Linked DNA regions of Xenopus tropicalis. The protein of the gene in region 1 interacts with the protein of each later gene in a pairwise test. Links are inferred from orthologs where the notes say so. Each region holds a gene or a part of one and is shown in the gene's direction. Other genes may lie near its edges.

Region 1 (4,186 bases):
CTTTCCCCTGCCGCCTGCACCTTGTTTATAGGGTTGCAACTTTTTCTTAAAAAAAAATGGGCTTCCTATATTTTTATGTTTTTTTCCCTATTAATAGTGGCTGATCAGGTTGTGTAGGGCAGGGGTCCCCAACCACCGGGCCGCGGGCTGTGCTGAACCGGGCCACCTGGTCTCCCATTGAGTCTGTATTATGGTAAGCTGTATTATATTTTATATTGTAATAATATCAATAACAATAAAAATAAAGTGCCTAATATAAAATGTAATAATGACATTTACATTATATATGTAATAATTAAATTATATACTATTAACTAGTTGCCCCCCCCCAGCCTCGGGCCTTGGAAAAATTGTCATGCTTGAAACTGGGCCGTGGTGCAAAAAAGGTTGGGGACCACTGGCGTAGGGCACCAGGCTGGCTTCTGATATTAACATAAAGTTATGAATAAAGAATCTCAGTAACTTACTGGCTTGCTTACTTCATCCCTCCCCCACCCGCTGGTCTGTCTGTCTGTCCGTCTGTCCATCCATTTGGAACAGCACCCCACCACATTTCTAGAGTACCCTAGGGGGCACATTTACTAATCCACGAATCCGAATGGGAAAAATTTGGATTGGAAACGAACATTTTGCAACTTTTTCGTATTTTTTGCGATTTTTTCGTCGCCGGTACGACTTGCTTAAATTGCCGCGACTTTTTTGTAGCCGTTACAATTTGCTCGTATATTGTCGCAACTTTTTCGTATTGAGCGCTCGTAAATGGCGGGCAAACCTTTCAGACTTTGCATGATTTTGGAAGCCTCCCATAGGACTCAATGGCACTCTGCAGCTCCAACCTGGCCCAAGGAAAGTCACGATACTGAAGCTTGAATGAATCCGAAACTTTCGTACTCGGTGCGACGGCTACAAAAAAGTCGCGACAATTCGCGCAAGTCGTAACGCTACGAAAAAGTCGTGACAATTTACGAAAAAGTCGTAACGGCTATGAAAAAGTCGCGACAATTTACGGAAAAATCGCAAAATACCGATCATTACGAGAAAAAACGCATTCGGACGCTTTTCGGACGTTCGTGGATTAGTAAATGTGCCCCTAGGTATATGCCTACCCTGCTTATCCCTAGTTCCAGCCCCAATTCAAATAGGTGATGATTGGGATAGAAAAATCCTACAGAGAGACAGTTGTTTTTATTTCAGTTTTTGACACCCTAGCACCATATGAATAAGGTTGCAGATGCTGTATTCCACTGTAAGTTCATCATTTGAGTTTTTGTATAGTTAACTTTTGTTAAATGACAGCATTCCCTTAGTTAGTATAGAGAAATATCAACCGTGTGGCTTTAAATTCGCAAAGCATCCTGGGATTGTTCCCCATATATGGAGTGTCAGAACACGGAAGAAGCTTTGTTGTAAATCCCATGTTTGTGTATGCAGCATGGCTAAGGGAACTTGCAAACACTGATCGTGGGTAGTAACAGCGTTTGATAGTGTGGCAGGGGTGCCAGATTGAGAAGGGGTTGGGTAGACTGGTGATTTACAAGGTGAGCTATGATTATTATTATGAATGTGTATATGTTCGTGTCATATTTGTATGACAAATACATATTGGAAGAGATGCTCCGCGATGTGTATACCCTTTTCAATGTTTTCCGACTAAGCTGCCTTTGGGGCAATTATCTAACGCTTAAGTTGCCTTCGGGACTCTTTTCTCGTTCTAAAGGTGACTTTGGAGCTGTGCTCCCATAATAAAGGTGCCTTTGGGACACTGCTTTTATTTTTTGCTGGAATGCTAAACGTGACGTACCCTGCACATCAACCAAACATTTTTACTGTTTTACCAGAAAGATGCTCGATTTTCCACAGTAGACCAATGTATCCGATCAAAGTATTTTGTGCAGCCTTTATTATGTGCTGTCACCCTTTTTTTTTTGCAGATCAGTGCAAATGCACAAAGCACACATGTTGAATTGCACACTTATTCTGCTAGATTGGATCACTCTAATGAAGAAACTGAAGATTAACTAATAATAATAAAAAAAAAAAATAAAAAAAACAAGCAGTGCTGGCCTCTTGCAAAATTGAGGCCCTACGCAGTGGTAGCCTTCTGATGCTGTTTAAGGCCATGGCTGGCACTAAGGGGGAGATTTACTAATCCACGAACGGTCCGAAGGCGTCCGAAGGCGGTTTTTCGTAATGATCGGTATTTTTGCGTCTTTTTCGTATGTCCCACGATTTTTTCGTTGCTGTCGCGACTTCTTCGTATATTTTCCGCAACTTTTCGTCGCCGTCGCGAAAAAAAATCGGATTTGTTTTTCCGCCGTTTACTATCGCTCGATACAATAAATTCGCGATGGTGACGAAATAGTTGTGCAAAATACGATAAAGATACGAAAAATCGCGACAGCGACGAAAAAGTCGCAAAAAATTTGTTCCAGTACGATTTTTTCCCTTTCAGGATTCGGATTTGTGGATTAGTAAATCTGCCCCTAAGTGAAGTTAAACTTTTTGATCACATAAAGGAACAAGGCTGCAAACCTAGTGCTGTTGTACAGTGTACAAATCTCATGTCCTCATAACTTGTGAGGATACATACATACTTATTTTTACAATACACAAGTTTAGTGAGTCCTGTGACACTTACCTCACTAAGCACCAGTTATTACCAATGACATCACTAATCACAATTTTTAAGGATGTAATTTATAGGATATTTATTAATACATTTGGGCCCATACAATGGCCTACCCTACCCTTAGGTCTACCCTAAAACAAAGATAACTCCCAGTTATCTCAGTATACCATTGTATATACTAAAAGTTTATATTAAGGTGAACTAACCACTATATAACTAATATATATTAAAAGTTTATATTAAGGTGAACTAACCATTTAGTTTAAAAAAAGATATGGACAACAACAGCAAACACTTTTACTAAACAAAGTCATTATGGAGTATCATGAGAAAAGTAGTGGACTAATCTTAAGGTAAATATTACTTACCGGTATTGTTACATCTGTCTATATATACAGGTTGCTTGACACTGATGCTACATGTATGCAGGATAGGGGCCCTAACTGGCACTAGTCATTTAGCAATTAACTAGGTCTTCAGTCCATAGGTGCTCCATATATCTCTTATTTAGTGATTTCTGAAGCTAATGCCTGAGAGTCAATGGCACTTAGGGGTGGAGAAGAGTGGAACACAAAGCAATTGTGTACAAACTGCTTCTTGTCTGCATGTGTGTGAGACCAGGCACCCTTAATAGGTGAATTGGTGGCATGAGTATATATATATATATATAGATATAGATATATAAAAAATACAGGATGAAGAGCACACCAAACTTTTAAATGCGATACCTGGGTGCCAGAGCAGCAAGCACAGAATAAAAATAAAGAATGTCGGCACTCACAGGATTTCCACGATAAAACTCACAGGTAATAAGTCATGTTTTAGGATGCAATCAGGTGTGATTTATTGGTCCAACGTTTCAGTTCCCTTCCCTGACGAAAGTTCCAGTAGGGAACTGAAACGTTGGACCAATAAACCACACCTGATTGCATCCTAAAACATGACTTATTGCCTGTGAGTTTTATCGTGGAAATCCTGTGAGTGCCGACATTCTTTATTTATTTATAATATATATATATATATATATATATATATATATATATATATATATATATATATCAGTCCTGATGGTGTCTGCACTCCAAGGCTTTTAGTATTCTGTGGGGTGCACAGCCAAAATCTGAGTATTTAGCATGAAATAATACATGGCCGGCACACCCTTAAAATTCAAAAAAATTTTTTATTGAAAACTCATTGTTTAAAAACCAACGTTTCGGTCCTCATTAGGACCTTTATCAAGGATAAAAAGGAAAAAAAATATTTCATGCTATATATATATATATATATATATATATATATGCTTCATAACATCCATACTGAATAGTAATGATTTCTATTTGTTTTTTCAGACTATGATGTTAATAAGCGAAGGCGGTGAAACTAATAATAAGGAAAGTCTTTTGTAGGCTGAAATGGTATTTGCCAGGACATGTCTGACTTCTGTTTCTTTGAGGTCAGTAAAAAACAGGTAATTATATATTTCTGTTATAGGTTCAGCTTGGCTTCAGGTGGTCTTTACACAGCCCCATATATTCTCTGTTTGCCAGAAAGTTTTTA
Region 2 (4,267 bases), on another chromosome or scaffold:
GGCCATCGTTTAACCCTTTCTGTCCCCCTTGATTCTGGCCATCGTTTAACCCTTTCTGTCCCCCTTGATTCTGGCCATCGTTTAACCCTTTCTGTCCCCCTTGATTCTGGCCACTGTTTAACCCTTTTCTGTCCCCCTTGATTCTGGCCATCGTTTAACCCTTTCTGTCCCCCTTGATTCTGGCCATCGTTTAACCCTTTCTGTCCCCCTTGATTCTGGCCATCGTTTAACCCTTTCTGTCCCCCTTGATTCTGGCCACCGTTTAACCCTTTTCTGTCCCCCTTGATTCTGGCCATCGTTAACCCTTTCTGTCCCCCTTGATTCTGGCCATCGTTTAACCCTTTCTGTCCCCCTTGATTCTGGCCACCGTTTAACCCTTTCTGTCCCCCTTGATTCTGGCCATCGTTTAACCCTTTCTGTCCCCCTTGATTCTGGCCATCGTTTAACCCTTTCTGTCCCCCTTGATTCTGGCCATCGTTTAACCCTTTCTGTCCCCCTCGATTCTGGCCATCGTTTAACCCTTTCTGTCCCCCTTGAGTCTGGCCATCGTTTAACCCTTTCTGTCCCCCTTGATTCTGGCCACTGTTTAACCCTTTCTGTCCCCCTTGATTCTGGCCATCGTTTAACCCTTTCTGTCCCCCTTGATTCTGGCCACCGTTTAACCCTTTCTGTCCCCCTTGATTCTGGCCACCGTTTAACCCTTTCTGTCCCCCTTGATTCTGGCCATCGTTTAACCCTTTTCTGTCCCCCTTGATTCTGGCCATCGCTTAACCCTTTCCGTCCCCCTTGATTCTGGCCATCGTTTAACCCTTTCCGTCCCCCTTGATTCTGGCCATCGTTTAACCCTTTCCGTCCCCCTTGATTCTGGCCACCGTTTAACCCTTTCTGTCCCCCTTGATTCTGGCCACCGTTTAACCCTTTCTGTCCCCCTTGATTCTGGCCACCGTTTAACCCTTTCTGTCCCCCTTGATTCTGGCCATCGTTTAACCCTTTCTGTCCCCCTTGATTCTGGCCATCGTTTAACCCTTTCTGTCCCCCTTGATTCTGACTTGTGAAGCAATGCAGCGGCTTCTGTTGCATTTCAGGGGGTCACAACCAGCAGTGCAGGTAATATTAAGAGCCAGACAGATCAACACTAATTACATTTGCACTTTACATTACAAGCATGGAGCATAGAAAAGCTGCCTTTTCTTTCATTATGAAAAAAAATAAAAAAAACAAGCAGTTTGTGGGGTGGAGTTCCCCTTTAAAACCCCTGTGCCAGCATAAGAGTGAAAAAAGGGGAGCTTTGCAGCTATGGGGGGCACCTCTCCCCCTTCTTCCCCCACCCCACACATTCCAAAGGATGGGCAGCACTTACCCTTGCCTATTGCTGGAGGTACAGGGCAGTGAGTGAGGAGCCAGGGGCAGACAGGCTGCAGACACGCAATCCATTCACACAACTTGTTTACAAACTACTCCGCTTGGTCCAGATTGGCAGAGCATAGAGTTCGGGACCCGCCCACTGACGTGTCTTACTCACTCTAAAACCCCGCCTCTCCTTCGACGTCGCAAGCCCCGCCCCTTCTCTCGTCGGGGGGGAAAGTTTCGCTTCCTCCGCAGTGTTTGGGTCCGCCAGCTGAGTGAGAGGCCGGAAGCTTCGAAGCTGAGCCGGAAGTCAGAGCTTTAAGACTTAGGTACGCGGAGAGGGAAAGGGCCGAGAGTTGCCAAGGCAACCGTCCGTGAAGAAATGATACGTTGTGCCTGTAAGAATGGGGGGAGCATTTGTGTGTGGTATTTTAGAGACGGGATGTTTAATGTAAAGCAGCCCAGCCATTCTGTATGGTAGCACCTGGGCTAGTCTGAGCTCAATTGGGAAACTGGGCAGCAAACTGGGAAATGAGGTCCAATGTGGACAAGTGCAAAGTTATGCATTTTGGTAGAAATAATATAAACGTGAACTATCTACTGAATGGTAGTGTGTTGGGGGTATCCTTAATGGAGAAGGATCTGGGGGTTTTTGTTGATAACAAGTTGTCTAATTCCAGGCAGTGTCATTCTGTGGCTACTAAAGCAAATAAAGTGCTGTCTTGTATAAAAAGGGCATTGACTCAAGGGATGAGAACATAATTTTGCCGCTTTATAGGTCCCTGGTAAGGCCTCACCTTGAGTATGGGGGCAGTTTTGGGCTCCAGTCCTTAAGAAGGATATTAATGAGCTGGAGAGAGTGCAGAGACTGCAACTAAACTGGTAAAGGGGATGGAAGGGTTAAACTATGAGGTTAGACTGTCAGGGTTGGGGTTGTTTTCTCTGGAAAAGAGGCGCTTGCGAGGGGACATGATTACTCTGTACAAGTACATTAGAGGGGATTATAGGCAGATGGGGGGGTTCTTTTTTCCCATAAAAACAATCAGCGCACCAGAGGTCCCCCCTTTAGATTAGAGGAAAGGAGCTTCCATTTGAAGCAGCGTAGGGGGTTCCTCACGGGGAGGGCAGTGAGGTTGGGGAATGCCCTTCCTAGTGATGGGGTAATGGCAGATTCTGTTAGTGCCTATAAGAGGGGCCTGGATGGGTTCTTGAACAAGCATAGTATCCAAGGCTATTGTGATACTAATACCTACAGTTAGTATTAATGTTTGTATATATAGTTATGTATGTGAGGGGATAGATAGGTCAGTATGGGTCTGTATGTGAGTGGATAGATAGGTCAGTGTGGGTCTGTATGTGAGTGGATAGATGGGTCAGTATGGGTCTGTATGTGAGTGGATAGGTCAGTATGTGTCTGTATGTGAGTGGATGGATAGGTCAGTGTGGGTCTGTATGTGAGTGGATAGATAGGTCAGTGTGGGTCTGTATGGGAGGGGATAGATAGGTCAGTGTGGGTCTGTATGTGAGTGGATAGATAGGTCAGTATGGGTCTGTATGTGAGTGGATAGATAGGTCAGTATGGGTCTGTATGGGAGGGGATAGATAGGTCAGTATGTGTCTGTATGTGAGTGGATAGATGGGTCAGTGTGGGTCTGTATGTGAGTGGATAGATGGGTCAGTGTGGGTCTGTATGTGAGTGGATAGATGGGTCAGTATGGGTCTGTATGTGAGTGGATAGATAGGTCAGTATGGGTCTGTATGTGAGTGGATAGATAGGTCAGTATGTGTCTGTATGTGAGTGGATAGGTCAGTGTGGGTCTGTATGTGAGTGGATAGATAGGTCAGTGTGGGTCTGTATGTGAGTGTATAGATAGGTCAGTGTGGGTCTGTATGGGAGGGGATAGATAGGTCAGTGTGGGTCTGTATGGGAGGGGATAGATAGGTCAGTATGGGTCTGTATGTGAGTGGATAGATAGGTCAGTATGGGTCTGTATGTGAGTGGATAGATAGGTCAGTGTGGGTCTGTATGTGAGTGGATAGATAGGTCAGTGTGGGTCTGTATGGAGGGATAGATAGGTCAGTGTGGGTCTGTATGGGAGGGGATAGATAGGTCAGTGTGGGTCTGTATGGGAGGGGATAGATAGGTCAGTGTGGGTCTGTATGGGAGGGGATAGATAGGTCAGTGTGGGTCTGTATGGGAGGGGATAGATAGGTCAGTGTGGGTCTGTATGGGAGGGGATAGATAGGTCAGTGTGGGTCTGTATGGGAGGGGATAGATAGGTCAGTGTGGGTCTGTATGGGAGGGGATAGATAGGTCAGTGTGGGTCTGTATGGGAGGGGATAGATAGGTCAGTGTGGGTCTGTATGGGAGGGGATAGATAGGTCAGTGTGGGTCTGTATGGGAGGGGATAGATAGGTCAGTGTGGGTCTGTATGGGAGGGGATAGATAGGTCAGTGTGGGTCTGTATGGGAGGGGATAGATAGGTCAGTGTGGGTCTGTATGGGAGGGGATAGATAGGTCAGTGTGGGTCTGTATGGGAGGGGATAGATGGGTCAGTGTGGGTCTGTATGTGAGTGGATAGATAGGTCAGTGTGGGTCTGTATGTGAGTGGATAGATAGGTCAGTGTGGGTCTGTATGGGAGGGGATAGATGGGTCAGTGTGGGTCTGTATGTGAGTGGATAGATAGGTCAGTGTGGGTCTGTATGGGAGTGGATAGATAGGTCAGTGTGGGTCTGTATGTGAGTGGATAGATAGGTCAGTATGGGTCTGTATGTGAGTGGATAGATAGGTCAGTGTGGGTCTGTATGGGAGGGGATAGATAGGTCAGTGTGGGTCTGTATGTGAGTGGATGGATAGGTCAGTGTGGGTCTGTATGGGAGTGGATAGATAGGTCAGTATGGGTCTGTATGTGAGTGGAT

The links.
Region 2: the proteins of gtpbp3 (region 1) and parp11 interact in binary tests that used the Homo sapiens proteins (3 or more experiments, as listed by UniProt). The two-hybrid records come from large-scale screens. The link is inferred for Xenopus tropicalis from reciprocal best matches to the Homo sapiens genes GTPBP3 and PARP11.

The regions. Positions count from the first base shown.
Region 1 is NC_030677.2:113,483,991-113,488,176, forward strand, and holds the start of gtpbp3 (tRNA modification GTPase GTPBP3, mitochondrial), read left to right. Parts: upstream 1-1,379; 5' UTR 1,380-1,538; intron 1,539-3,978; 5' UTR 3,979-4,041; coding exon 4,042-4,097; intron 4,098-4,186. UniProt on the Homo sapiens protein: GTPase component of the GTPBP3-MTO1 complex that catalyzes the 5-taurinomethyluridine (taum(5)U) modification at the 34th wobble position (U34) of mitochondrial tRNAs (mt-tRNAs), which plays a role in mt-tRNA decoding and mitochondrial translation.
Region 2 is NC_030679.2:11,768,826-11,773,092, forward strand, and holds the start of parp11 (protein mono-ADP-ribosyltransferase PARP11), read left to right. Parts: upstream 1-1,463; 5' UTR 1,464-1,676; exon of another isoform or gene 1,677-1,745; intron 1,746-4,267. UniProt on the Homo sapiens protein: Mono-ADP-ribosyltransferase that mediates mono-ADP-ribosylation of target proteins. Plays a role in nuclear envelope stability and nuclear remodeling during spermiogenesis. Inhibits the type I interferon activated signaling pathway.